Lepisosteus oculatus: one gene and its partners. The protein of the gene in region 2 interacts with the protein of the main gene of each other region in a biochemical or structural test. Links are inferred from orthologs where the notes say so. Each region holds a gene or a part of one and is shown on either strand. Other genes may lie near its edges. The genes, in order: pex7, pex5, pex12 and ddo.

Evidence for each region.
Region 1: the proteins of pex5 (region 2) and pex7 form a complex in vitro, tested with the Homo sapiens proteins (3 studies listed by BioGRID). The link is inferred for Lepisosteus oculatus from reciprocal best matches to the Homo sapiens genes PEX5 and PEX7.
Region 3: the proteins of pex5 (region 2) and pex12 form a complex in vitro, tested with the Homo sapiens proteins (2 studies listed by BioGRID). The link is inferred for Lepisosteus oculatus from reciprocal best matches to the Homo sapiens genes PEX5 and PEX12.
Region 4: the proteins of pex5 (region 2) and ddo form a complex in vitro, tested with the Homo sapiens proteins (2 studies listed by BioGRID, with this or other methods). The link is inferred for Lepisosteus oculatus from reciprocal best matches to the Homo sapiens genes PEX5 and DDO.

The regions. Positions count from the first base shown.
Region 1 is NC_090697.1:2,535,208-2,542,296, reverse strand, and holds the start of pex7 (peroxisomal biogenesis factor 7), read right to left. Parts: upstream 3,013-7,089; 5' UTR 2,806-3,012; coding exon 2,688-2,805; intron 2,162-2,687; coding exon 2,104-2,161; intron 1,437-2,103; coding exon 1,286-1,436; intron 351-1,285; coding exon 273-350; intron 1-272. UniProt on the Homo sapiens protein: Receptor required for the peroxisomal import of proteins containing a C-terminal PTS2-type peroxisomal targeting signal. Specifically binds to cargo proteins containing a PTS2 peroxisomal targeting signal in the cytosol.
Region 2 is NC_090718.1:2,695,822-2,702,897, forward strand, and holds the start of pex5 (peroxisomal biogenesis factor 5), read right to left. Parts: upstream 3,015-7,076; 5' UTR 3,013-3,014; coding exon 2,849-3,012; intron 2,388-2,848; exon of another isoform or gene 2,383-2,387; coding exon 2,223-2,382; coding exon of another isoform or gene 2,139-2,222; coding exon 2,103-2,138; intron 1,406-2,102; coding exon 1,282-1,405; intron 1-1,281. Other genes in the region: clstn3 (calsyntenin-3), read right to left, coding at 6,359-6,514.
Region 3 is NC_090721.1:1,318,820-1,326,277, reverse strand, and holds the start of pex12 (peroxisome assembly protein 12), read right to left. Parts: upstream 3,024-7,458; 5' UTR 2,747-3,023; coding exon 2,618-2,746; intron 1,755-2,617; coding exon 1,213-1,754; intron 417-1,212; coding exon 29-416; 3' UTR 1-28. Other genes in the region: ap2b1 (AP-2 complex subunit beta), read left to right, coding at 4,341-4,377, 6,058-6,163. UniProt on the Homo sapiens protein: Component of a retrotranslocation channel required for peroxisome organization by mediating export of the PEX5 receptor from peroxisomes to the cytosol, thereby promoting PEX5 recycling.
Region 4 is NC_090697.1:33,063,137-33,070,440, reverse strand, and holds the start of ddo (D-aspartate oxidase), read left to right. Parts: upstream 1-4,290; 5' UTR 4,291-7,304. Other genes in the region: slc22a16 (solute carrier family 22 member 16), read left to right, coding at 2,227-2,336, 2,751-2,850, 3,468-3,683. UniProt on the Homo sapiens protein: Selectively catalyzes the oxidative deamination of acidic amino acids. Suppresses the level of D-aspartate in the brain, an amino acid that can act as an agonist for glutamate receptors. Protects the organism from the toxicity of D-amino acids.

The DNA of each region.
Region 1 (7,089 bases), on a different chromosome or scaffold from region 2:
CAATGACTATCTACTTAACGTTTGTGTTCGACACAGTGAGGATGATTTCTCTGTTTGTAAAGCGGAACTGAATCATTGTTTTCATGTTTAGAAAATACTGATAATCTGGTATTTCTTTTGCAAAATTTTGCATAGGTAATCAAAGCTAAATGGAAGAAATAACAAAATCATATCAATCCAGGATATTTCAAAACAATACCACAAGCCAGAAGAAGCTTTTTCAGTTATTTCTATGTGTACACATCACTATATGATTGTTTGAGACATCTTACCACTTTAGCAGTGTGGTCCCAGGAACCAGAAACTATGAATGTTTCACCACGGGTTAAACTCCAGTCAACGCTATACACCTGCACACAGAGGGATTCATATACATTAAGTCATTCAACTTCACAAAACAAACAAAGAGAATATCTACAGGCTTCATAGAACAAATGAAGAAGACCTTGACATCTGAAGAAGGCTCCACGGTCGAAACTTTACGTTTCTTTTCTTCTCTTTTCAGCATGTTATAAACCTGTACTTCTTTCTTTGTAGCCTATGAATGCTGACGCAGATCCCTGCTTGAATATCCACAGGCTTGGGTTAAAATAATACCTATAAGCGTTATTTAAAACATTACAGAGACCAACTTTCAGTAAGAAGTATTTTAAAAAAGCCCTATAACCTAGAAAGAGATTGAGAAAATTAAAATGCATACCATTTTATTTTTACTGATGATAAGAACAATAAGTCATAATGACTTCAAAATAACAAATGCAACTTTTGAATAGATACTCTAAAGAAAGAAAAAAGCCAAGAGCTATTCTATAAATTTGACAACAGAAATGGAACCACATTTTTTATCATTACAAATGTATCTGATTGTATTACAGCTTGGTATTATTATTTACAAAGACTACATTGAAAATAAAAATACATAGATGCTTTTTATCCTACAAAGACCATGCCAGTTGACCCACATGATTAACTACCAAGTTGTAATATAATAATAAGAACAGTGAGAGCAGTCAGTCAATGATGTGGCATGTCCATCCATGCATTTTCCAATCTTTATCTTTATCCAATTCTGGGTCACTGGGGAGTCCCAGCAAGCAACAGGCGCAAGGCAGGCAGGATACACCCTGGACTGGACGCCAGTCCATCACAGGGCCCACACAGACACGGACACAAGCACCCACAGCAGGGCCAGTTTTCACAGAAGCCAATTAACCAACCAGTGTGTCTGTGAAAAGGACCGGACAGACTCCAGAAATGCCGCCTGTGCCCAGGTAAAAACAGTCACCTCCTGCGCGTGCTCCTTCAGCACCTGCAGCGGCCCCAGGGGATTAGCTGTGTCCCAGATCTGGAGAGATCCGTCTCCACTCCCCGTCACCAGCAGGTGCTCGTTGCTCTCACTCCAGGTGACGTCGAAAAGGCCATCGTTCCAGTCAAAACTGAACAAGAAGGGTTATAATACTTATCAGTCCAACTCTGTCACCCACAGAGACTTAGATATGTAAAGGAACAGGTAAAGGTTTTCTCCATGCTGAAAGGAAAAGAAAAAAGTATGACAACGTCTTGGCTGTGGAGCCTTTGTCAGGAGTGGAGCCTGAAGCTCCAACAGCCAAAACTTTGTGTTTCTTTTCTTCTCTTTTCAGCATGGAGAAAACCATTACCTGTTCCTTTGCAGACTAGGCATGCTAACGCAGGTCCCTACTCGGACTTAAATTTGTGCTCATTAATACAGATGCGCATTTCACTCGAGCTAAGTGAAAGCCTTAGGGTACAACATCATTGTCCCCACCTGGGGTTTGAACCCACAAGCTTTCCATCATGAAACCTGTACCCCACACCTCTGGGACGTCTCTCTTGAACAGAACCAATATGATCAACACAAAGACTTTTATTCAAAATAAAAAATAGATGGTTTTCAGCATGTGCTCACAAAGATGTGTGTCCCTATTTTCTCAACAGGAACACAGTGTTTTTTTTGCATTGTGGAGGATGATATTGAAATTATTTATGAATAGTGTTGTCTTTGTTTCATATACATATATAAAGAAATCAGTAAAAAACAATGATAGTAATAAATCAGTCTTGGCAACAAGTAGTTTTATGTACCTCTTTATGAGAGAAATACCAATGTCATTCTGCTCCAGAACCAGCAGTGTTCCACAACCTGAACAAACACAAAACAAAAAAGTAAGCTGTGAAGATTTGCTTTTCGTTGAGGGGGCAGTATTAGAAACAAAGTATGCTTTTTTTCTGGGTGCTTTTCGGTTTTGGTTTACAATATTAAAGGACTTATGGTACTGTGAACAGATCTATACAGAGGTTAGGACACACGACAAGCTTTCTGATTCAGAAATGCTATCATAATTTTCTTTATTTATTATTTATTTTTACATCTGAGTAATATTACTTTTATTTTTAAAATGACTCTTCCTTACATGTACTTTAAACTAAAATGAAAATAAACTCATCCGCTTTGTAGCTGATGAATTGATGGTTGTTAAAAAATATCAACTCCATATTTTTCTGTTAAAAAAACTTCAATTACTATATAAGAGTTAGTTGTTTTTTAACATAAATATGAAAATGTGATTTTAAAAAAGCTTGAAATGTACATTTTGACCATTTCAGGTCACACTTAAGCGAACTTCATGCAGGATAACCACGATCACGACGACTGAATGAAGGGTCACCTGCTATTCCGTAATACTGAGACGTGGCACAGGCCAGCCTGTTGGGAAAATACGGGGACACTTCTACTGCATAACCGTGTCGAGCTGGGGACCGGAACGTCCTCATTACTTCAGCCATTAACCTTACTGTTTTGTTCCAGTCTCGCCCGCTTTGCCTACGTCTTAAACATAACAGCCGCTTGCATCTCCAATACAAACGACATAAGGTACTCAAATTCAACTGACACGAACTGGATTTAAATCAAACTAAATAACCTTATTTACTACAGGCTCATAATAGTTCATAGCGTCTCATGGTCGAAATCGACTTCCTGCTCCCAGCAGCCTCTGCGGAGCGCAGAGCTCTAATTGGTGCTGTGATTGGTCTCTTTCCGGGCACTGTGATTGGTCTTTCTTTTTTTTGGGCGCTGTGATTGGTCGTTTTTGTGGCTGCGCTGTGATTGGTCATGTACCAGGAAGCTCTTCACCTTTTCGCAATTTAGCATTAAATTAACCAGCCCGGTTGTCCGAGTTAACTTGAACACGGGGCTATAGTACACTTGATAAATCAATTAGATTGCAAAGCACAAAATACATTCATGTTTATGATATAAAAATCCTTCCAAATAAGCAAGATGAGCTTATGTCCTTTTGTGATTTGTAACTTATCTTAATATTGGCATTTTTTGTGTGAACTATTATTACAGTGAGCTCTTATAACGCGATTTATCATTTCAACGCTACCGATGATGTTTCATATTATTTTCAAAATAAATTTCAAAGTGATGATCACAACAGTCATCACCAGGTGTCACTGTTGTTGCACATATATGTACGTGTGCGTCAATGTTGCACATACAGTATACAGTATATTGGTGTGTTCATAAATGTGTGGAATCCGTATTAATTAAATACTTTTGGCAAATAATGATGTGGCCAACGAGATATCAATCCAAATGAAATGTTACAATCCGATATAAAATAATAATTCCTGAACTTTTCGGTTATTCATTACTTTTTAAAAGTACTGTTAAATTACCATACCAGTATCCAACAGGCAGGTGGAGGCCTATTTGTTGTCTGGGTGATAACAAAGAAGAAAAAAATAATATCGGATCACTATCACCCCTTAACAGACCCTGTACCTAAATTCTTTTATCAGAGACTTTATGCAGTGTTGCACTCCTTATGCTTATTTCACTTTTTTGCTGATGATCTTATTCACAGGTGGCACTGTGGTGCAGGGGTTAAGCATTGCTGGAGCCCTGGGATCCTTTCCTGGGGTGCTATCTGCTTGGCGTTTGTATGTTCACCCCATGTTTTTGTGGGTTTCTTCTGGGTGCTTCGGTTTCCTCCCACGGTCCAAGGACATACTGTACAGATATGTTGATAGGATTCTGGGAAAATTGGCCCTGGTGAGAGTCTGTGTATTTCTGTGCCTGTCTGTGATCACCTGTTCATCACCTGTGATGGCCTGGCATCCCATCCAGGGTGCATCCTGCCTTGCACCCGCTGCTTGCTGGGATAGACTCCTCCTGCTCCCCTGGACCTGGAACTGGATGAAGTGTTTAGAAAATGGATGAATGGATCTTATTCACCTTCTCTTCATGAGGACTTGATTCCTGGGCATTCCAGTTCTGGGCACAGAGGTCTGTCCCCATTATAACTGCCTCAATTTGTACTTAAAAGTCAGCTATTATAGTTGTTTCCCTGGCACTGGGGTACTGTGCTAGTCTCAGTGCTATGGATTCAGTTCACTGTGGCATGAATTTGTGGCATGAATTATTTTTCCTTGTTTCTTCTGTTATACAGATATAATGCGTATGTTGTGACAACTGAGTTAAAATTAGGTTACACCATTTCTTGCAAACAAATCCAGTCAGAAATGTCCATGCAGACCAGTATATTGTACATGAAAATTAAGTGTAAATTAAATTCACAATAACTAGCATAAAGACACCTTTTAGATTAATTAAAAATAACTCAACCAGACAAACGATTTTAATATATTTAGTGATAAAATGATTTAGTTCTTCTTTCCGATCTTTTTCATATTATTATTAGCAGTAGTAGTGTGAAATGTTCCCCAAACGTTCTTCATTTTTTAACAAAAAAAAACTCCAATAACTTCCAAGAACATATTGCTGTTAAGTAGATTGTCTAGATGTTTTAACAGTGTTTTCTTCCAGAGCATGTTTGAAACCTAACTCTTGGAATGCATCATCACCTCCAGTCCTACTGACTCAAAAAAACAAAAAAATGTGATTGTCATTGTATTTTGAATTCCTTACACCTACTGTTATAATAATGTATAGATTTCTTAATGATAATTTGTGTAATAAACCCTAGTGTTTAAACCATGTCAGGGTTTTCCAGGTGATTATTTATTATGTGACAGTCCTATATTGTTAATATATTGCTGTCAGGGGGTCAGTACATGGCTCTTCGGTGGAACTGGAATTGTGTTACAGTACAATATCTATGGGGTTCTGCAGGGTATTGTCCAGAGTTTCACTTCCCCACTATTGTTAAACACAGCTGTAATGACCTGTGAAATGTCTTGAAAACCTACAAGAGAAAAGGCAGACGGTAACTGTACTGTAACACTTATCATCACACGATCAAGTTATAAAAACAACAGTAGTCCTACTCCATAGCTGAACTATAATTAAGAAAAAATCAACACTTTGTCACATGACATTAGGAAAAAAGCTTAATTTAAGAAAAATATAAAAAAGCATCAGAGAACTACAGTAATCTGTTCCAGAAAAAAATGCATAGCTCGGAAGATACAATGAAAAGAAAAACTGTCCTGTGAACAATCCATTAATTTTTTCAAAGAAAGTAAGCACGTTCTAAGAACTGCTAGCTGGACTTTCACTCATATAGTGAGTTGAACTAGGCAGGGTCTTCTGCATTTTAATTAATAAAAAAAGTTTCTCCTACACACCCGTTAGGCTCTGCGTTCAGTTTAAGACCGTTCTGCAAGTCTTACTACTTGATGTTTCCGAAGCCGCTGATCATGTGTCCGTGTTTTACGACGGCCACATCAAAGGAGCGACTGCGGCGTGAGAACCAGGCAGTCTAAACCAGATAACCGTGGATTTATGACTGCGCTCTGTTCCCATGATTGTCAGTGGGCAGCAGGCACTGTGTGTCGTAATCCCCATTCACTTGGAAATGCTGATACTTTTTCTCTTAAGGAATTTAATGGTCTGACAGTGATTTACTAATGTAAATCTTTCTAACAGACCGGAGGATAAAGAGAGTGGATTAGCAGCACATAAAGGCCCATCTTGGTAGGAGTGACCAGAGTTGTTTTGCTTTCATGTGCTGCCTTCATTATGAGCCCCGCAGTATGTTTTGGTCAGACGAAAACATTACATCTTCCCAGGAAGCCTTTTAACAGCCTGACTTTTTGCAGACTGAAATATTATTATCATAGCACAAAATCTGTGGTTTCACCGTATTTGTCAGGATCTTGCTTTTCTCCCTGTTGGATTAAGTCTTTTGGATGGAAATTCCTCAGCCAGAAGCAAAGATCCATGCACAGGAAAAACAATAGATTATTACAGAACTTATCAGTGTATTATCAATGAAGTATTGAATATTGCCTGGTGCCTGATTTGGTTGCAACACTCCCCAGATCAGACACATGATATTTGACATAAAGAAATACTGTAGAATAATGTAGAATACCATTATCTGATTGAAACAAATTGTATTAGATGGACCATGAATAGCGGATGTTGAACAGTTACTTTTGTTTTTCCTTTACATAAACTCCGCCGGCTCAGCTGTGAGTGCAAATCTTCTGCAAATGGCGTTTTTGTTTTGAAGCATCCCAGTGGAAATAAATGAACAAATTACTGTTGGAAAGGGCAGCTTCTCTTAGCTGGAATAGACAATATATTCTAATCCTTTAATGTCTTGACTTTCATGACAAAAGCGCGTCAGCATCTCTGCATAATTTAACGTTACTGCTAATCGAGAGCGTAGTAAATTGCAGTACTACTGTAACTTGATATTTTCTTCCAGACATTTTTGAGAAACATTAATGCGAATTCTGGTAATAACATTTTTTGTATGTCTGTGTACATTTCCTTAGAATTGTACGGCAGATTCCCATGCTGCTATGTATGTTACATATTAGCATAATATTTTAAAACCAAGATGCACTCATGCACAGCTCCAGTTCCACATTGTTGGCTTGAAAAAACTGTCAAATGAAAAACGACGGTGTAAATCCATCCATGTTCAAAAATATTTTAATCAGTGTTATCGGTAGGCGTTTTGCATAGCAATAAAAAAGGTTACAACTTACAGGTAACACTAAGTAACAAAGCAAAACAAAAAAGTAACAGTAGTATCATTTGACCAATTATTTTTAAAGTCTTTTTTTTCGGTATTTTTTGTTTTTATT
Region 2 (7,076 bases):
GGGGTGTGTTCAGGAACCTGCAGAGCAAAAGCAATCAAATACCTTTTCAGAATGCATCCTCTGATCCTGTTAACAGCTCAGGAATGGCCAGAATATTGAAAAACTTTCAGGACACATTCAACTACAAGCACAAATCAAATGCACTTGACTCTTATTTTCTCCTCTGTTCTTCCTTGTCGTGCATGTCTAGTACACCAGGTGTTGCGGTCACGTCCCAGAGTATCAGCTGGTTTGTAACAAGACATGCCTACTGTTTCCCCACAATGCACCACACATCCTAGCTGTCAAGCCTGGCTTGTAGCCCGTGAGACAAGCAGCGACCGAGCACAGGGCTGTTGGCAGACAGGGAAACAGTGAAACAGCAGTCCTGGGCCTGGTGACCCCCATACACCCGCTGGCTCGCCCTCAGTTCCACAATCCATCCCTTCAATTCACTTCATAATAACGCGATGGATTTGAACCGATTTCTCCCAGCTCTCAAAGAGGGAACTGCAATGCTATTTTTAAATTTCGGGGATTAGAAGGAATCAGCACTGATGAGTGCATTTCAAACCACAATGGAAGTAAGATGTGCACAGTAACTTGTAAAACCTCCAATTTCCATCACAAGTAAATGTCCAGGTCTGTGCAGCGCCATGTTCTGCGATTCAGAACAACAAAACTTCTGGTGAGGTGAAGCGGCTCTATTACACTTTAAACAAGCAGGCTCGTGAATCCCTCTCTTTTAATCCAGGAGAAATAATGCTCTCAACTTCCAGATGGTTCCACTGACAAATACTACTCACTGGTTCACTCTGCCTGCAGATCACGCTGGAACATTTCTGTGGCGAAATGTCTGCTGCACAACCTGTACCTATTCGCTCATCCATCACAGCACATCAGTCATTACTGGGACTAGTGAGCAGGAAGGGCTGCAAAACATCCCAATTTGTGGGAACTCCAATGCGAGTTTGCCACAACGTGGCGACTATACAGCACTTTCACAAAGTTTACGATTTATCCATTGTTCCGTCAATGAATTTACGAGAATAAATAACCGGTCTAAGAAATTGAGACTGCAGTTCCCTTTTAAACATGTTGGATCCTTAACCATTGCATTTTATAAGCAAAGTAAAATCGGCCAACTTATGACCAGAGGCAATACGCAAATATTCCAATGAAGCAACTGGATCTTAGATCCAGTAAGGATTCAATTATCTAATGAACGTGGGAAATTAGGAGGTGTGGGAGACACCAGGACCAGGCCTGGGGTAGAGTGATACAGGACAGCAGAGACGGTACCTCTCTGAGGAGCCTGTCTGTAGCTCTGCTGGTCTATCTGCTGCATCTCCACCAGCAGGTCGTCCATCTTGAAGGTGTGGGGGGGGCGGGGGGGGGCCGCGTCCTGCAGGAACTCGCTAACCAGCTAGAGGGCGACAGAGAGACGCTGGCAACCCATTGTGATTACAACAATAAATCCAATTGAATCCTTACACTTCTGTAGCGCTTTTTGGGACACGTAACAGATAATGGGGATCCCCTCCACCACCCCCAGTGTGCAGCCCCACCTGGATGATGCGCCAGTCCTCTCCTCACACACCAGCTCTCAGTGGGGAGGAGAGCAGAGTGATAAAGCCAGTTCAGAGATGGGGATTATTAGGAGGCCATGACTGGTAAAGGCCAGGGGGAAATTTGGCCAGGACACCGGGGTTACACTCCTGCTCTTTTCAAAAAACACCCTGGGATCTTTAATGACCACAGAGAGTCAGGACCTCGGTTTTACATCTCATCCAAAGGACGGAGCCTTTTTATAGTGTAGTGTCCCCGTCACTATACTGGGGCATTAGGACCCACACAGACCTCAGGGTGAGCGCCCCCTACTGGTCCCACTAACATCTCTTCCAGCAGCAACCTTATCTTTCCCAGGAGTCTCCCATCCAGGTACTGACCAGGCTCATCCCTGCTGAGCTTCAGTGGGGCTGCCAGTTGTGAGTTGCAGGATAATATAGCTGCTGGCAAATATAATGAGCAGCTGCTGTTGCTCTTGTTCCTGTAATATTGGAACGATCTACATCTCTTTCTTCAATTACTTCAAACAAGTGACTAATAATAACTTTACTCACGTCATCTTCAGTGGCAATCTCAATAGGAGTGGGAATCTGAGGGAGAGAGAGACAGGCGTTTATGATAAGAGGAAAAACTTCCAAGATCAGAACAATATGTCTCTGCTCCATGTGACTCACAGTGGGTGTGGCCCTGTGTCTCCAAGCTCCGCCTTCTCGGTCCTGGGTCATGTGACCCGTCAGCTTCATGAGCGGATTGGCACCCCCACACTCCCCCTCCACCAGATCCCGCATCGCCATGGCAGCCACCAGCTCCGGCCAATCAGTTGGCAGCCACAACCTGAACTGACCAATCACAGAGCAACAAAGACAGACAGGGATACAATATAAACACAAGGATAAAAGACAGACACACAGCCTGACAGACGATTATGCCATAGAGACAGCCTTGACTGCCTGAAGGCTATGTTATATAAACTGATATATTTAAGACTGTATAATATAGAAGCAGGAGCCCCAAAGTGACCTCAGAGCTAATTGGATTCACTGTAGGTGACACACAGAGAGCGGATTACTGACATATAACAGGTTCATTCTTCCATGCAAAAGAATATACTCCTCACACAGAGTAGGAAGACACTGGAAAATACCTAATTTAGCTATGCACAGAGAGCGCAACCTGCACACACTAGACCCTTCCCCTAAGTCACAACATCACAGAAAGACACGCTGAAGCCACAACAAGCACACGATTCACACGGCTCTCCACACGTGCGGGCGCCCTCGTACACTCGCTGTCCGCTCACCTGCTGAAGGACAGCTCACCGGCCACCGGCGGGCAGACCAAGGTAGAGGACGGTGAGGCAGGGGGCTGTTTTTGAACAGACAGAGGCAAGGCTGTCCGCCTCCGAGCCAAGACAACACAGAGAGACGGACGGGACAACAGTGCGCCGCCCCCCCTCCGCTGCATATAACTTATCAGACCACCGTCACACGGCCGTCCTCCCTCTCGGCGCAATGTCAACGTACCGCAGTACCCAGCCGGTCAAGTGTCTGCCGTAATCCTCCAATCGCTTCCCCCTCTCTGGATCCGCAGGCACAGCACCGGCCACCGTACGCCTCCTTTAATTTAACATTATTTGGCCGACGGGATTCACGAAGCCCGGCCGCGCAAGAGCTCCCGGCAGACGGGTGGCGGAGCTACGCAAAGTGCGTAGCGAGTCGCCGCTCCGGCTGCGGCTGATGCGGAAACGCCGCCGAGATTCTGCGAAGAGGTTTACGTGGCGCCAACAGCGTCCGCCGATGGAGCGGTGGAGGTGAAGGGCGGAGGTTACGCAAAACGTGTAGGGGAGGCGAAAGGGAAGGTTTGCGCAACCTTTAAACAAAGTCCATTGTGCAGCACCTCCTTCCCTCCGTCTCAGACCCGACTAGTTGAGCACCCAATCAGGGATCGATTCGCCTTGAAAAATCCTTTAAGATCTCAGTTGGACCGTTTTTTTATTTCGATTTTAAGACACACGATTATTTTAAAACGTGTTACCCTAGACCAGTTGCGGTACGGGAGTGCGTTATGTTACAACGGATGTTTTGGCTGACGCGCCAACACTTCTGTAGGTTGATCTGGTCAGATTTAAAAACCACTAAGTGGCCAGTTTAAAAGAACATTCAGTCCCATTGATAAATCAAACAGCTAATTTATTAAATTAAGTAGTTTAGAATGTTTAGGTTTAAAATTACTCTTCAACCCTCAAGGACCACAGTTCTCTTAGTTTAACAGATTTCTCCTGTTATTCATCGATAGTTTACAGCCATTGCCAATCTTTAAAAACAGGTGACTGGTTAAACTAAATGAACCGGGCACCAGGGTTACAGACCCCTGGAGTCACTGGACCGGGGTTACAGACCCCCTGGAGTCAGTGGACCGGGGTTACAGACCCCTGGAGTAACTGGACCAGGGTTACAGACCCCTGCTTTAAGAGGTTTAAGAGACCTTAAACAGATTGTCTTGGACAATCCCAGGGCCCTGTTTGTAAGAGACAGGACATGAACCCCGTTGTCCTGCTTAAAATCCCTCCTCCCTTTTTTTTTTGTGATATAAATCCGGCGTCTCCGGAGTTCCGGGCTCAGCTTTGGAAGATGGCCACCCGAAGGCCCGCCTGCTCCCAGGCTTCAGGGGCAGCAGGCACAGGCCCTCACCCCAGTGTCCTGACCTCGGAGCGCCTGCTCCCATCATGTTTTTAAATTCCCTGTTCCTGGCCCTAGTTCCCCGTTCCCTGGTTTTAATCCTCTTCTTCTTGGATGGATCTCCTGGCTCTTGTATCACGGACTGCGCCCTGACTACCCCCTTTTGGATGTCCCTGGAAGTGACACAGTCGCTGGGAGCAGCGCTGACCTGTGCTCTTTTCATCCAATCGGACATAACGAGCAGCTCACACCCGCGTCTGTTCAAATGCACGCTCCCACGCCTTGATTAGAGATTTCTCCGATTCAGTTCAAGCTCTGGGAAACACAACACGAAAACAAATCGCCAATACTGTAGACGAACGCAGGGCCGTTTTTTGGGGGGATGTCAGAAAAGGCCCTGTCGGACGCACGCGTGCGTGGATCAGTTCTACTGCGGAGACCAGCAGCTATTTTGACATCATTCTTGCATTTTGTTTTATTAGGAATCTTGTTTTACAAGAAGAAGAATAATTACAATAATAAGAGGCTTCTGCAGAACCGTGACGTCAATAAAACAAGGAGAACACTGGCTCAGATACAGACACGGTCACTGTACACCAACAAGGAGCGAGAGAGAGAGGCAGCAGTGGAGGAGGAAGAGACGAGGAAGGAGAAGGACAGATCGAGGGCCTGGGAGGAGGGGAAAATCCCGAGGTAGAGACAGGACTGAGAGAGACAGAGAAACGTAAAAAGAGGAGGAGAGAGAGAGAGGACAAGTTGTTTTTTTGTACCCACAGGAATGAACAGCAAGGTTAGTACACTCAGATCAAATTTACACGACGCTGGTCATTGCAGGGCGGAGACACACAACTCAGTTAAACACGCAACAAGCAAGATATTATTAGAATTATTATTATCTGCTAATAATGGGGGGGGCGGGAGAGCAAGTCATTGTGAATTGGCGAAATAAAAATGACAGTTCAACAAAGATCAGCGCCCCCTCACAGTTGCGGGGGAGCTGCAGCTAATAATAATAATAATAATAATAATAATAATAATAATAATAATAATAACATATTTTTCTATTTACAGGAATCAATACAATCAAGATCACCCAGTAACTGGGCTGACATTCTGAATAGAGAGTGTGTAGGAGGATTGTGTAGTCACGATTGTGTAGTAAACACTGAATACGAAGCACGATGTGGACAACAGATAGAGGTGAGTGAAGGGGCTTTATATATCAGCAGCTTTGTAGTAGTTTTTGAGAGTAGAAAGTGTGCGTTTACTGCCTGTGCTGTCCGTATACTGTGGATTCTGGTGTTAGATGGCCCACTAGAAATTGGTGTGTACTAGAACACCCCAGATTTACACAGGTGAGTGTATTTCAGACAAATTGTGGGTCAAAGACTCAGTTCCAGGGATTAGGTTTTAGATATTGTGCTGAACTGTGACATCCAGGTTGAATAAGCAGGGCTCGTGTGGTACTGATTGTATGCAGAGTTCATATTGTAGGTTATGTACGAAACACTGGGCTGTGCACGCAGCACAACACGGTGCAGAACCTGTTGCAACTTGTGTAGAATATTCTAAACGGATTGCCGGAAAGTAGCTACAGTTGTGGCGTGTGTGGATTGCATGGAACTCTACAATAGGTTGTGTATTATTGAGTAGATTATAGAATGAGGTTGTGTTGTGTGCGTGCCGGTGATGTTCAGCAGTAAGGGCATTTATACTGTTGTTTCTAGAGCTGGTCTTCATGAGTCATTCATGGGCTCCATTAATTTCATTGGCTGATTAATAAGGAAAAAGAGATGGGGGATATACTAAGGAATTGCTGAATAAATAACACTTGGAGACCGTAACAGGAGGATTAAGAAGCTGGATCCATTTTGGCTCAAAAGTAGGACAAAACTCCAAAACGAAACAAGCATGGGATGAGAGGAATAAAGGCCACCAAGGGCTCCAGTTTCCAATCCGACAAAATTCTCCTGTGCAGTCTGGACCTAATTGGCTTGAACGGTTTTTCTGAGGAAACAGAAGCCATTTGGGATACTGGGCAACAGCCAAGCCGTTATACAAAGTGAAGGGAAAACGGAGCCAAGATGGCCGCTGCAAGTATCCCAGTTTCTTAACTCTGCTGTGATTGGATATCAGTAGCGACGGGGGGCGTGTTCCCGGCAATCTCTCTTTATGATGATTTGCTGGTCGTCTGGGGCATCTCCAGGGGGGGATTCTGGAGACTCCTCCCCTTCCTCTTCTTCATCTCCATCCATTCCTCCGTCTCCTGAGACTCGAGACTCATAGGACTGAGAGATAACGGGGTGGGGGGAGAAACGGTAGACAGAGGCAGAGGTAGTGGGAGTTAATACTAAAACAAATGCAGAGACTGAATGATGAAAGTCAGCTATTGGAAGCTGAGCAGCTGTAGTGTCGGTGTATATTTAAGTGTATATATATGTTTTGGTGATTTAAACTATGTGGTCTTCATTATACATCACTATTATCACTATTATCATTGATCACAGGGTGTTATTCACTCTACAGCACTATAATCATTGATCTCAGTGTGTTATGCACTCTACAGCACTATTATCATTGATCTCAGTGTGTTATTCACTCTGCAGCACTATTATCATTGATCTCAGTGTGTTATTCACTCTACAGCACAATAATCATTGATCTCAGTGTGTTTTTCACTCTACAGCACAATAATCATTGATCTCATTGTGTTTTTCGCTCTATAGCACTATAATCATTGATCTCAGTGTGTTATTCACTCTGCAGCACTATTATCATTGATCTCAGTGTGTTTTTCGTTCTACAGCACTATTATCATTGATCTCAATGTGTTTTTCACTCTACAGCACT
Region 3 (7,458 bases), on a different chromosome or scaffold from region 2:
AGTATTTGACTGACGCTTCTCCAGCGGTCTACCCTTCGGGGCAGTAGAGCTTGATCAGGTGCTGCAGTTCAGTAGGGTACCCGGTCAGCGGGCAGCGCTGGTGGGCCTTCACGTAGGCGAAAGCACAGCGGTAGCAGAAGACGTAGCCGGAGGTGGCCAGCGCGGTGTCGTTGGTGCGGGCTTTGCGGCACAGAGGACACTCGCTCTTGCCCACAGGAAGTTCTGGCTGATCCAGGTGCAGAGGAGGGGGAGGGGTGGGCAGGGAGGTCAGGGCCTTGATGGTGCCCTGGTTCTCCGAGGAATACCACCAGTCCAGGAACTGCAGGAAGAAGACCCCGACGGACAGCCCGGTGGAGATGGACACGGCCACCCCCCCCACCGCGGTGCTGAGGAAATGGCGCAGCTTCTCCCCAGCACTAGGAAAGGAAAACGAAATGAAGTTATTACTGCGGGGCCTCGTTTAAGCGCTGACCTGTTCCGCAGGGAATTCTTTTTTCCGGAGCGGGATTGGTTATATCCACCAACCCCTTCTTTTCTAACCGCTTCATCCAAGTCAGGTCGGCAGGAGAACCGGAGCCGAGCCCAGCAAGCAACAGCCACGAGGCAGGCCACACCCTGGAAGGGACGCCAGTCCATTGTGGGGCACGCACACACTCACACCAGGCCACTTTTCCCCTAGAGGCCAGTTAACCTACCAGTAAGTCTTTGGACCATGGGAGGAAACCCACATAGACTGCACCCCAGGTCTGGAATTGAACGCAGGGCCTCGGCACCGGTGTTAAACTCTGCACCACACTGCCAGTCTGGGCGTGCTAACATTTCCACAAACGCGTCCAAACTGAACTTCTGAAGTGCGCAGGGATCATGCAGCGAAGACTTGCCTCGACACTTCTGCTCACTCTTGAAATGTTTACTGGGTATAAATGAATAATTCCCTGCAGGCACATAGTGGGTATTTTAGACAGCTTTGATAACATTTTTTTTGTACCCTGGCACTAAGCTTTCCAGGACACGAATGCCCTATTAACTTTGGTGAAGCACTCATGGCACGATGCAGAAAAGATGCGCAGTTGTCCAGTTTTGTGCTGTCACGGATTCCTCTAGACTGGATCTGCACCAGTGCACAGCCGGCCCTCTCGGCACTGGGGCAAAGCCAGGAGAGGACAGCAGGGCCCCGGGAGGACCTCTGCGAGATGTAGGATCGGTGCGCACCTGAGAGGGGAGGCGGAGGTGGACGCCGCTGTGGGCTTGAGGTCCAGGGCTCGGATGTCTTGGGCCGTGAGCCGGGCCAGCCGGACCCCGGCCAGCCGCAGCAGGGGGGAGTGGTGCCGCGCGCGGCCGAAGACGTAGAGCAGCTGCTGGCAGAAGACCCAGCCCTCCCACGCCATGCTGCAGAAGGGCCAGGCGGCCAGGAAGGCCCTGCAGAGCCGGCCGCAGGCCGAGCGCGGCACGCGGATGGAGAAGTCGTCCTCCTCCCTCAGCCGGCCCAGGAGCCCCTCCAGCTTGGCCCGCAGGTACGGCAGCAGCGCCAGCAGCAGCAGGGAGCGCCAGCGCTGCCGCCGGGGCAGGCCCAGGCTGGCCAGCCGCCCGCCGGCCCCGGGGGGCACGCGCTTCAGGCTGTAGAAGTTCTCGGAGAACGAGGCGCTGGTCCGGGACAGGAAGTGGTGCTGCAGCAGCAGGTCCAGGGCGGTGTAGATCTCGTCGAACCAGCGCCACAGGCCGCCGTACCGGGCCGGGCTGGACTCCGCCAGCACCTGGAGGAGGAACGGGACTCGGATCACTCGGTGCAGGGAAGCTCAAGCAGGTGCGCCCACCCCCGCCCCTCGTCCCCAGTGGACATCCAGAACTTCCACACAGGCAAGAGGGACAGTACAGCAGAACTCCACACGTTTCCTCTCTGGGGCACTGTAAGAATAATGGGCGATTGTGGATTAATCCAGCCCATCATTTTCTCATCGCTTTATCCAAAGCGGGGTGGCAGGGGAGCCAGAGCCTATCCCAGCAAGCAACAGGTGCAAGGCAAGGTACACCCTGGACGGGACGCCAGTCCATGCCAGGGTAGACAGCCACTCACACTAGCGCCAGTTTTTCCCTACCCCTCTCTGTTTGGACTGTGGGGGAAAGCCAGAGCCTCTGGAAGACACCCACATAAACATGGGGAGAACATGCAAACTCCACACAGACAGCACCCCAGGTCCTGAATTGAACCCAGAGCACCAGCGCTGTGAGGCGGTAATGCTGAGCGCTGTGCCACCGTGCCTCCCCCTGGTTGATTAATTTCAAAGCCTATTAATCATGTTCAAGAATGCAGTTCTGTCTCTGTTCAGTTTATTTTTCCTGTCTTTATCGGAGAGGGATAGTAAAAACCTGTGTATGATCATGGCCTCAAGAGGCTAGAAATGCTGGAGGCAAGTCTGTTTTGCAAGGTAAATGTCACAGAACCCTCTTAGGAAAACAAAACGTGTTTCAGTTAAGTGGGTCCTTACATTTAGTCATTAACCTTTGCATTCACGCTTCTAATAAATTTCAGCTTTATGAGCATTTTATGAACAAATTGCAGAAGGCGCAGAAGCAACACCAGATGCTGTAGCAGGAAATGAATGAGCTGGTTCACCACCTTTACTGCGTGCTGCAAGGCTGGTCTGACCGAGGCCATGAGCGAGTCCTGGGCGAGCACCTCGAAGATAGAGGGCCTGTCGTCCCGCTCCAGCGAGGCCGAGCTGAGGTGGGCTCCGCGCTCGGCCATAGCGCCGAGGTGCCCTTGATCTCTGCAGGCGGAGTGCTGAAATCCCAGATGGGCACAACTAACATGAATTAAAAAAAAAAAAGGTCGATAACCTGTCCTTGTGGTTTGTTGTTGATGTTCTTGGTTAGGCGCAACAATGATCACTGCGCATCCCCAGTAGTTAAAACAGTTCCCCTCAAAACAAACTGGATTAATAAGAGGCTTTCAGACAAACTAACTCCTCTTTGCAGCTCGCAAATCTCCCCACCCTCGCTGAGCCTCCAGATGTTTTGCTGTCCGCCTCTTAAATCGTTCGGTCGGCTCCTTCCGGAATCCCTGCTGGCTCCTTCCGGCGTCTCTCCCCTCCTCCTCCGCCTCTCGTCTTGTTTTTCCGGGAGTGCGGTTTCTCTCCCTGTGTGTGTGTCTCTCTCTCTCGCCCTTGGTCCGTGATACCAGCATCTTGCTTCCTCTGTCACCTCTTCGCTCGGCTCTTCTGTTCGCCATCACCCAGAGCAGGTGAGCGTCGCGTCCCCGTCTCCTCGGTACCGGCGGGGAGGCCCAGTCCACCGCACCGTTTTTTCCCGGACAGGCAGATGCGGGAGCCGGGTCACACCCAAGCCGGGCTGCGCAGTCCAGGGCTCTCCGGCATTTGCTGGAAAAGCGGACATGCAATAAGAACTGAGAAAATTAAATAAACATTTCTGGCGTCCTTCCTTGAGCTTGATCCACATTTCCATACATGTAATTCACAGGCGTCGGTTGATAAGGTCAAGCCTAAATGCAGCGCTCGACAAGGGAGACCGATAGCGATTGCGTATTAATTTTAATTGACTATAAAATCTCGATTTTGACTTTGAACTGTAATACTTTCTGAATAGGCTGGGCGTTTTTTTTCCCCCGTAAAGGCCTTACTGAGAATGTGCATTATTGCCACACCGCCTATTTAAATCCAGTGTGTTGTAGTTGTTTTAGGCATCCCTAACCAGACCCGTTAACTGGTTTTCTCCGACTGGTACAGCTGTTCTAGTTGGTTTAAGACTACAGTCGGTTATTTGTATACTTCTAGACAGTAACCAGAACAGTTTGTACTCTCGTGAGTCTGAGGTCTTAATTGCGGGAGTATTGAAGTGGTTCCTCTCAGGAATATGTTGAAGGAATAAATATATTTTAACAGTTCAACATTTTCAGATTAATATACCATTGTTTATATTTAAAATAGCAATGTTTGTTACAGGTTTTTAGTTTAAATCCCTTAGATTAAGGATAATATTGTTTTTCTGGGCTGAAAGATTTCCTTCAAGGTGAAAAATTATATCCTTCAGTGAACTCGGTGAAGTGGTTCACTCCATAGGTCAGTTCGATGCCAACACAAATTCCAATGTCTGAGCTGTAAATGTACTGTATAGTGTTATGATTCAGGTATTTCCTTATATGGGACTGGAAATGAAAATTTTCCAGTATTTGTAACATTATCAGTGTATTTTTGCTTATGTCTGTCCCAGAGAAAACATACAGTAAGCTCTTCTAAATCCAGCATACACCGGTGTTTCTCTGCAAAGTAACGTACTCTGTGTTCCATTTTTCCTTTTCGCAGCTGTTCTGAAGAACTGCAGTCATGACGGATTCGAAGTACTTCACCACAAACAAGAAAGGTGAGTCTTCTCGGGGGAGTGTTTGAGTTTGATGGATGACACGAGATGGTCTATTTATTTTACTCCGTCTCAGATTGGAACTTTGCCTTTGCAGGTAAAAGATATGATACGTTTACAGCATATATTTAACACAACATGAACCCATTGACAAATAAGGTACATGTACGATGAGAAAGTATTATAAATAAAGTGAAATTCATAATCAGTTGTCCAAATGATAACTGTCCGGTTGATAGCTGTAGGAGCAAAAGATGACTTAGTTCTATTGCTCTTGAATCCAGACAGTCTAAATCGACACCCAGATGGAAGGAGTTCAGATTCACTGAGCAAGGGGTCATGACAGTCAGTGATTATATTGGCCTTCTGCACTACTTGTCTGATTAAGATGTCTGACAGCTGTAGCTGTTGTGTACTGACAACTTTGCTGGCTGCCTTCACTGTCCCGCTCAGTGTGTTTTTGTTGCATGTATTCAGGTTACTAAACCAGGCTACTGCAGTGAACGACAGGACAGATTCAATGAAAGTTCTATAGAATAAAGTCACTGTTCTACTACAGACATTAAAATAGTGGAATTGTTTTAGGATAACGGTTGCTGTTGGATTTTCTTACATAGGGCATCTGTGTTTTCCTCGGTATATTTGTAAATGTTCACAATATCGATCTTGGACTGTTGGGTTTGCAGCTGGTGGTTGCTTTCTGAAATTGACGATCATGTCTTTGCTTTAAATATATATAATACTGATTGTTTTGCTATGAAGTTGGGCTAATGTCAGGACTGGACTCTAGAAACAGACCAGAACATTTGAAAGAGAGTAGCTCACCAGGTGTACGGAAAGAGATCACACAACAGGCCTGGGCAGCCTTGGTCTCGGAGAGCTACAATCCCACAGTTTTTATGGGCCTGCCTCAAATCATCTAGCCTCCCTCAAACACTTTGAGCACTTTCATTTTGACCACTGACACAGCTGATTTGTAGTAGTTTAGTGATCATTTCTCTAATGAAGATACCAACTTCCCCTCCCCGTAGCTATAAGGGATCGTATTTTGCCATTTCTGGCATAAAGGGACCAAATCAGTTATAGCGATCAAAATGCCAGGTGCTTACAAACTGAACGTATAAGTATGACCTGTAAGACCTGTGAAACTGCAGCTCCAGGACAAGATTTGGCCTCCTCTGTGTTAAGAGCTCAGTGGTGATATGAGTGCATAGTGTGTTATTATTATAGTGTATGAATGTATTTATGTAGGTCTATGCACTTGTAGCTCCTCGGTCCCGGCAACATGTTAACATGTTAGAAGGTTCTGCAGTTCCAAATCACGAGGTTGTTGGTGTAGAAGTGAGGATTTTGATGTTTATGGGGTTATTTTGTTTGTGTTTTAAGAATGGATTTCTATAGGTTTCAACACTAAAACATCAGTGGGATCTGCTGTGAGTGATGGAGCAGTGAGCAAGACTCCGGTTAGCATTGCTGCCTCACTGGCTTCAGTTTCAGACCTGGGGTGCTGTCTGTGTGGAGTTTGTATGTCCCCCCTGTGTTTGAACCCGTTGCTTTGCCAGGAGAGATCCTGGCCCCCCTGCGACCCCGAGCTGGGAGAAGTGGTTAGACAATGGATGGATTAGTTACTGGAGCTGAGAGGGCAGTGCGCTGTGCTGACGCCGTGCTTTTCTCCCGTTTCAGGGGAGATCTTTGAGCTGAAGGCAGAGCTGAACAATGAGAAGAAGGAGAAGAGGAAAGAGGCAGTGAAGAAGGTCATCGCCGCCATGACTGTGGGCAAGGATGTCAGGTACAGTCATTTCCCTTGAGTCAGCTTCTCTTCAGGCTGGGAGATGAGGATGCTGCATTGTTCTGTGCATCTATCCGTTGTCGGATCGGTTAGGAAACATAGGACACAAGGCAGAACTACATCCGTCCTTCGGATGAGACGTAAAACCGAGGTCCTGACTCTCTGTGGTCATTAAAAATCCCAGGGCGCTTCTCGAAAAGAGTAGGGGTGTAACCCTGGTGCCCTGGCCAAATTTCCAATTGGCCCTTACCAATCATGGCCTCCTAATAATCCCCCTCTATGAATTGGCTACATCACTCTGCTCTCCTCCCCACTGATAGCTGGTGTGTGGTGAGTGTTCTGGCGCACTATGGCTGCCGTCGCATCATCCAGGTGGATGCTGCACATTGGTGGTGGTGGAGGGGAGTCCCCATTACCTGTAAAGTGCTTTGAGTGGAGTGTCCAGAAAAAGCGCTATATAAGTGTAAGCAATTATTATTATTATTATTATTATTATTATTATTATTATTATTATTACATCCCAGATGGAACGCCAGACCATCCTGGGGTGCGGACACAATTCTACCATTTCACTGTACCTGGTAGGCTGTGGTTAAAATAAGCTTATTGTACATGAAGGAGATGAAGAATCATCAAATCTGCTTTGTGAAGGTTGCTTTTTCCAATTCACTGCCACCCTGTGGATATTTGTTACCTACGTTCAGACTACATCCATGAATGACCTTGTTGACTTCCAGTTTGATTTGCATGGTGTCCCATTAGTTTTGTGTTTGTCATTTGGTTTGAAAGATTACCTCGTCAGTCGTTGGGTGCAACATCACCTGCGTTGCAGGAGCGCTTAGCTTCAAAAATACTTTTTATCATGTGGACTTCCCAGTGTTTTTTTCAGTTTTATTTTGTGTCATTGGCTTTCATGCAAAGTAATTCAAATAATGGAATATTTTTTCACTTATTTCATCCTAAATGAAGAGTCTGGAAAGTCAGCAGGTAGGCTGGTCTCTGCTTGGTCAGGGTACAGTGATGTTGTGTTCTATCTGCTGGTGGAAAATGTTTTATTTATCTCGAGAGAATAAAGGTCACCACCACCTCTAATCTGTGGTAAAACACACTATCATATGATTTTATGAACGTGTGTGTTTTGTGTCGTCTGATCATCTTGGGAAAAGAGTTGTAGTTTTGTCAGTCATTAATCATACTTGCATGTAATTTTCACTGTGTTCCAAGTCATGATAGTGTTGAATCATAAAATGCATTTACGCTTCATTTGAGTACAGTAGTTAGTCAGCGGCGTTACC
Region 4 (7,304 bases), on a different chromosome or scaffold from region 2:
CTACGTGCAGCCTTAAAGGGTAATTGGGGAGAATCAGGTGAATATCCCAATCTAAAGTTAAAGGTCTTCTATAGGTAAGCAAATCTCTTTCAAATAAGTGTTTCTAGAAGAACAAAGTAAATCTTTTAAACAAATGGCTTTCTTAAACGGCTTTCATTTTTGTAGTATGTCTTCAGGTGAATATACTCTGGGTAGTCCCTTTATTATTCAAATTACTTTTTGTTATTGTTTGATGGAACATTTTCTATTTTCAAAAGAAGCTAGTTTTGAATTATCCTACCGCTTCATATGTAGCAATTATAAAAAGCGCTAGAAGGCCTTCTCTTTCCTCAGACTGTGGTGTAATATAACTGTGATGAATAACTGTGATGAATTGTGCCATCCAAAAACATTGGGATAGCAAAGTCAAAATTGTATTTTTGCTTTATAGTCAAGAAAGTTGTATTTATGATGAGATTGCCCCTGAAACTGGGTCACTTGTTTGTTGATCATGTAATGAATGATGTTCCTGAACTTTCCAGAAACATTTTGTCTGTAAAACTTTCCATACAGTACATAATGGGACTTATGTATTTATCACATAGGAGTTGGTCAAGAGAAAAAAACTGGAAAAATCTTTGATCGGACAAGTAAATCTCCATATTTAAATTAATTTACGCAAGAATTATACATGCTTAACAAATAAAATAGAAATCAGAACACACTAAGAACAGGGAAGAGCTCAAAATAACTTCATCAAGGTACTTCTAATGATTTAAGAGCTTGATGAGCTCAGTGCAACTCAGATTTCATTCAGTTATTGTCTACATGGCATAAAGGAATAAGGAACCATTTACTGACCTTTACACTTTAAACTGAAGGTATCCCAATATCTAAGGTCACTTGAATCACTGGGTTGGAGACAAAGCATGTTTTTGTTCTTGTGTGCATGTATGCATGAAATTATAAAATGTATATTGTACTTATTTTAGTCTCAATTATTTTGGTCTCAAGATCACAAACTGTTTGAGTAAAGTAAAAATAAGTTATGAATTTGTTATTCCAATACCTATGGAGGGCACTGTATATAATACAGTATATTCTGCATAATGTACAGTGCCCTCCAAATATGTACAGATGTAGCCATTCAGAATGTGCATTAAAATCCTGTAACATGTTACAGGGGCTTCGCTTTGCTGCGGCTTTCTTTGTCGTTGTGATTCACTGGACAAGGACGATCGATATGTAGCACTTGTGTACGTTAGATGTTAGTGAAAACATGAACCTCCCACAACAAAAATAAATGAAATATTAATACTTTTTTATACTTTTTAAATCCACTTAATATGTAATAATAATATGCAATCATGTAATCATGTAACTAAAGGGAAATTTGGAAAAAATGTTTCTGAATGTCAAACGTTAAATTATATTTAACTGGTTGGCATCAAATTTAACTTGGTCACCTGTGGTTAATTTGGAAACATTTTGACGTGTTTATGTATATTCTTTTTCCTTTCCTTTCAGCATGGAATGAACCTTTACCTGCTCTTTTGCAGCCTATGCATGCTGATGCAGCTACCTACACAAATTTGTTATAGGCTTACTGCTCCGTATCCCTATGATCCGTATCACAATAAGAACCAGGTTTAATTAAAGAACAAGGGTTCCTATGACTGTCAAAAGTACAATCTTCCTTTGCACAGTTTTACATTCATAGCATTAATAGTCCTACTCATTCTGTTTTAATGATTAAAACATATTTTGATGACATTTTTTTTACTATGGAAAGAAAAGTTCAATGGCTGTAGAAGATGGGGAGAGAGATTTTCTTAAAGCCTTGCTTTATTAAAGGCTGTATTGCCTTTCCCTGTAAAAAAAAAAAAGCTAATTGTTATTAAGATATTAGTTTTAGATTTACAGTTGTCTTGGAAATTGTATTTTTAGTGAGGTCACTACTGAAAGTATGTAGGTGTGGTGAAGCATCTTAGTGTATTTGCTCTTAATTCATAACTGGATTTTGTTGATTAGTGTCCCTGTTGCAGATACTGCTTTTGTGTCTTTGATCAAGGTACTGTACCCCAATTGCTCCAGTGCATCAAGCTGTATAAAAGGAGAATATAAGCTCCAGTCTTTAGTATTGACATTAATTTTTTAAACTTTCATATTGAATCTAAGAAGTTGGTTTACATAGATGTAATGTTTGTTATGCACTTTTACTCAAAAGTATGTTCATTTTCTTCCCAGGACATTGGTGTTTTGGTGATCATTCTAAGCATGACTGGAAAGTTTGCCATTGCAATTGCTTTTGGCCTTATCTACTTGTATACATGTGAGCTCTACCCAACTATAGTGCGGTATGTATAATTGATCAAATCATGAAATTAATTTGAGGACTTGTAATGATATACAATAGGTGTAATGATTTTATTTAAAATTATATAAGAACTTGGAGAACTCTTAGATCTTTAGATCTCAGCTTTTCATCTGTTGTCTTACAGTAAATTCTGTGAAGGAAGTTAATGATAAAAAAAATTCAGGTTGCTGCTGCAGGTGTTGGTGGTAAACCAGTAGGTATCTCATCCTTCTGCAGAATTTCCAAACCAGTGCCCCAGTAAAGCGACTGCAGACACTGTTCTGTGCTAAGGAGTTGCTGCTCTGTGGATGAGGTCCTTTGGCCATTTTTCAAAAGAGGGCGATAACCCAGATGTAATCTCAGCAGACACAAGTGTAAACAGTTAAAGAATTCCTGTTTTATTTGCCTGCCTCAGGTCTCTGGCTGTTGGAAGTGGAAGTATGATGTGCCGTATTGGGAGTGTAGTGGCCCCCTTCTGTGTGTATTTATCAAGCGTTTGGACCTTCCTGCCTCAGGTAATACCACGGGGATGTCTCTGACAGCTGCACTAAAAGCCATGCAATTCTTTTGCAAATACAACAGCTACAGAATGAGTTGGGGGGGGGGGGCAGAGTCAATAAACAGTCATAAGAGAGGAATTAGATAATTATATGGGGAGATTTCAATCATTTTATTATATGACTGCTTCACAGCTGCCTTTCTCTATTTTTTTTCTTCCATGGTACTGCTAATTTAAACTTTTGATTTTTGTCATTCTTACATTCTGAACTCCTCTTTTGAAAAGTGATTTGTAATTAACATAACATCAGTTAGTTTTTAAAGGTATTCTTTGTCCCACTAAAACTAAAAAACTAGTTTTTTTTCCAGTCGAAGCTAGCATACATATTCATTTAATCCCCTGGGATGTTTAGGGGAATGTTTGTGGCAGTGTCTAAGGACCTGTAAAGAAAAGGCCATCCTTTCTGTATGTCTCCCTTTTGTACACTTTATTTTTACAGATTGTTTTCTTTAAAATGCATATTTTAAATAGAAATAGTATTTCTGTTAATGTTATACTGCACTCATGAAACCAAAACTGTAGGTTAATGAGTGTGAATTAGTATTCATGTATTATCTCTTATTCCCCTTGTAGTTAATTGTGGGGATTCTGGCTTTTGCCATTGGCTTGTTAACTTTGATGCTTCCTGAAACCCTTGGAAATCCTCTAACAACTACCTTTGAAGAAGCAGCAGCTCTGGGATCTAAGGTAACCAAGACAGATAGACAGGTCACTGGAGATCTTGGTGAGAAAATGGAAATGGACTATAATGCTCTAAATATGGTGAAAGCAGATGACCTACACGTCTGAAGAGAAGGGCTTTAATAAATGCCGGGGTTGGACTGATTTTGTGCACAATTTTACAATTTTTAACCATTTTTAACGTTCTTCCTGTTAACCTGTCCAACTGAATGAGTTATTTAAATAAGCATTTTAAATTGGAGGTACCAGCCTCACATGTCCTCTTGTCATTTTTGTTTCCTATTCCTAGAAGTGTTAAAAAAAACGTTTGATTACCTGAATGTTATGTGATCTGTATAAATATAATTTCCTTTTATGGTAGGAGGTGGCAGCATCGCCTTCCCAGATTTAATAGACTGTGTTCTGTATTGAGTACAGCTACTCTATTGCAATACGATATGTGGGACTGAAAAACTACCTCTGGCAATTATATCTGATGTACAAAAAACAAACTCTGTCTATCTGGTCCACCAGTGTTACTAATTTAATGACTTAATTTAATTCCCAAAACAGTTCCTAGAATATTTTCTTTATCGTAAAGATATTTTTTCCTTATTAAATACTGATTGTATATTTTGTTCCTAGTTCATTGTGTGAAGTGTTCAGTTGAATCATCATGTTCCTGTTTTGTCCATAAAAAGAAACTCATAATGATAGGGTGGTGGAGGGATTCAGACAGCCTCTGCTTTGTTATTTGCACTACGTGCACTTTATGGATTATGTAAACTGGCACTTTCCCAAGGCTTTGTGTAGCCCGAATCAAGTCCAAAGCGAAGCTTTCTAAGCTCTTGCACAAACACATTTAGAGAATTGCCATTTGTGATACTGCAGTGATCCACCCTTATTCACCCTGCCTGTGTCTGTGAGAGAAGAGAAGGCAGCAGAGCTGAACTGCATGGACGCCAGGGTGTATTGTCCTTTCATGGCTTACAGGTGCGCGTTTGCTAATCACAGATGGTAAAGAGCGAGAACACAGGAGCTCGCAGTTAAAAGAAGGTGGTGGTAAAAGAAGGACATTGTCCCCCATTCATATATTGGGGAAAACAATTAAAATAATGTTGAATGAAAAAATAAAACACAATAACTGGAATAATTAAACATCAATTTAACAATTCGAATTAAACAATAATTTCCGGGATCATCAATGTTCCCAAGGAGCATGGAGGAAAAAAAAATAGAGGATATCTTAGTACATGTATATGACATCTGTCTTCCAATGTGCTCTTGCTTGACAACTGACAAGATTCATGTAGCAAAAGGTATTTTTAGCTGAAAGCGAGTCTGGAACCGTTTTTTTCATCAATCTGCTCTCAAGTGCAGGTTAAGTGAGCTCAAGAGTAAAAATAAAAATCAGAAAAAAATCCATATGACTTGAATATTAAAAACATAAGTGTTCAACAGGTTCAGTATTTAACTGTGTACAATTTAATTATATAAAGTAAACAATGAGGGCATACATTTAGCTCAATCCATCAGCTTAGTGGCTCCTCCATGTCTGCAGAGCTAAACAGTTGCAGAGAACCAGAACACATTAGGTTAGTGGGGTTGCTTAGTGTCCTTTTCAACTATCCAACAATATGAAGTCTGTCAGTAAGCAGACCTGAGCATTGCGTAGATCTAAGAGGTCAAATGTGGAGTTAAAAAAAATGCTTCTAAACCTCTCTATATAAGAGGGGGAAGTACAATCACTTATAGACCTGTGAGGAAAGATGCCCTAATAAGGTAACAAAAAGGGGAAGTTAAGAGGTGAAATGGTCAATTACAAAGGCCATCTTAGTCAGTTCTAGGGTTGGACAATTCTTAAACCTCTCATTCTCCAGAGCAGAAGAAGCAAGAAGCAAGATGCAAGTTTCAGCTGCCAACAGATCTGAAGCACTGGCATTTCAGGCTATTACTCATGTAAGGGAACATTACAGGTGTTGGATTCAATAAAGACCAGATATAATTTTTTCAGGTTTTTTTTGGTAACCCAACACCACATTCTGACATATTGTACCTAATTTTAAAAGCTGTAGCTTAATGAGTACAAAATGAGCAGTAATGATCAGTGAATGAGATCAATGTCTTTACATTGAATTGCCACAGCCTGGAGGAAAAAGTACTGCTGCTGCAGAAAGCTATAGCCTATATGTTCTCATTAATTGAACACATGTGACTAGGTAACAGGTTGCTCCTTTTTAATTTAACCAGCAGCATTTTAAGAAATGGGTTGTTAGTTCTGCGAGCTGTTTCATTTTTCATTATGTGCATGTTAGTGATTTTTGTTACACTTATGACTATATGTGAATTAATGAAATGAAAGGGTTTTCACTCATTATAATCAGTTCTGATAAAGGGAAGACTTCTTCAAACCACATTAGCTCCAGGCTGGAGTTGAAAACACCATGTAGAATTCCAGCACAACTACTTTTGACCCACGCCGGAAATAATCCAAACTGTACATTGTCTCATTTCTGTTATAGAGCATGTACCCTTTTTCAAGCGTCCCCTGCACCTACAGTAGTTGTTAGGTTATTCACAGCATACCTCATCAACAACTTTCAAGAAAGATGTTGTTACAAGCTGTCACGTCTGGATGACCATGTAGGAGGTGCAGAAAGTGAGGTTTCAGAACTTGATCAATTAAGCACTATGTATTCAGGCTGCTATTAATTACTACAGGTGGAATTGTTAATGATTATACACTCCTGCTGAGATCACACTGCTTGGACCTCTCCATTAATGTGTCTGCTCAACACAACAAATGGCATATAATTCTACATGTCTGCATGACACATGCTGGTCTACTGGGGTGGTCCATGCAAACCTTGATTCATTGCTAAAGAAGGCTTTGCTCTACTGTTGACCAGTCCACCTGAGAAGTTGCTTCAGCATACCAGTGGCACAAAAGCATGCTCTTGGTAAGTGGGGCGTATTGGTCTTCACCTGGATTGACAGTCAGCAGGTGACCTTATCTGTGCCAACTGACACATTCTCTAGTAAGGCTATGTAGTTTTTGTGCAACACAAAGCCATTTGAGTGTATCATGGTCAGTTAAACCATTGTCATAGTTTGCTTTCCCTTTCTCTTTTTGCCTGTCCCATCACGGACTTTCACTGGGGCAGGCACACGCACTTTTTTTTCGCACTAAGTTCTTGTTCTTGCCTTATGTGCCCTGCTCACCAGGCTGGACCCCGCTAAATGGGGTACTGTAAGTCCAGTCTGGTCACCGCTGTGCTAGCGATTCTTTTTCCCAGGTTTGACCCCGTTAAATAGGATAAGCCCAGCCTGGAGGTTACAAGACACAGTGGTACTCTTTCTTTTTTGCCTTTTTGTTTATTTTTCACTCTTTTTGTATTATTTCTGGTCCCTGCTAACCTCACACTGGTGCTTCTGTCCCCTCACCCGGTGCTCGCTAAGGCGCTTCCCACTACACTGTCACAACAGTAAAAAAAAAAAATTACAGACATTGGTGGAGACAGCCTAGGCCATCATTAATAAGGAACTCCCCTCCATTTAAACAATTCACTTGGCACTGCCTCAGAATGCCCAAAATATAATCAAGGATCAAAACCACCCTGCGCATGCATCTTTGTCTCTTCTTCCTTCTGGCAGAAGAGTTAGGAGTATACAGTAATTGCCCAAACCTCCGAATTCAAAGAAAGCTTCTTCATCATAGCCATAAGACTTCTGAACACCACCTCTTAAACC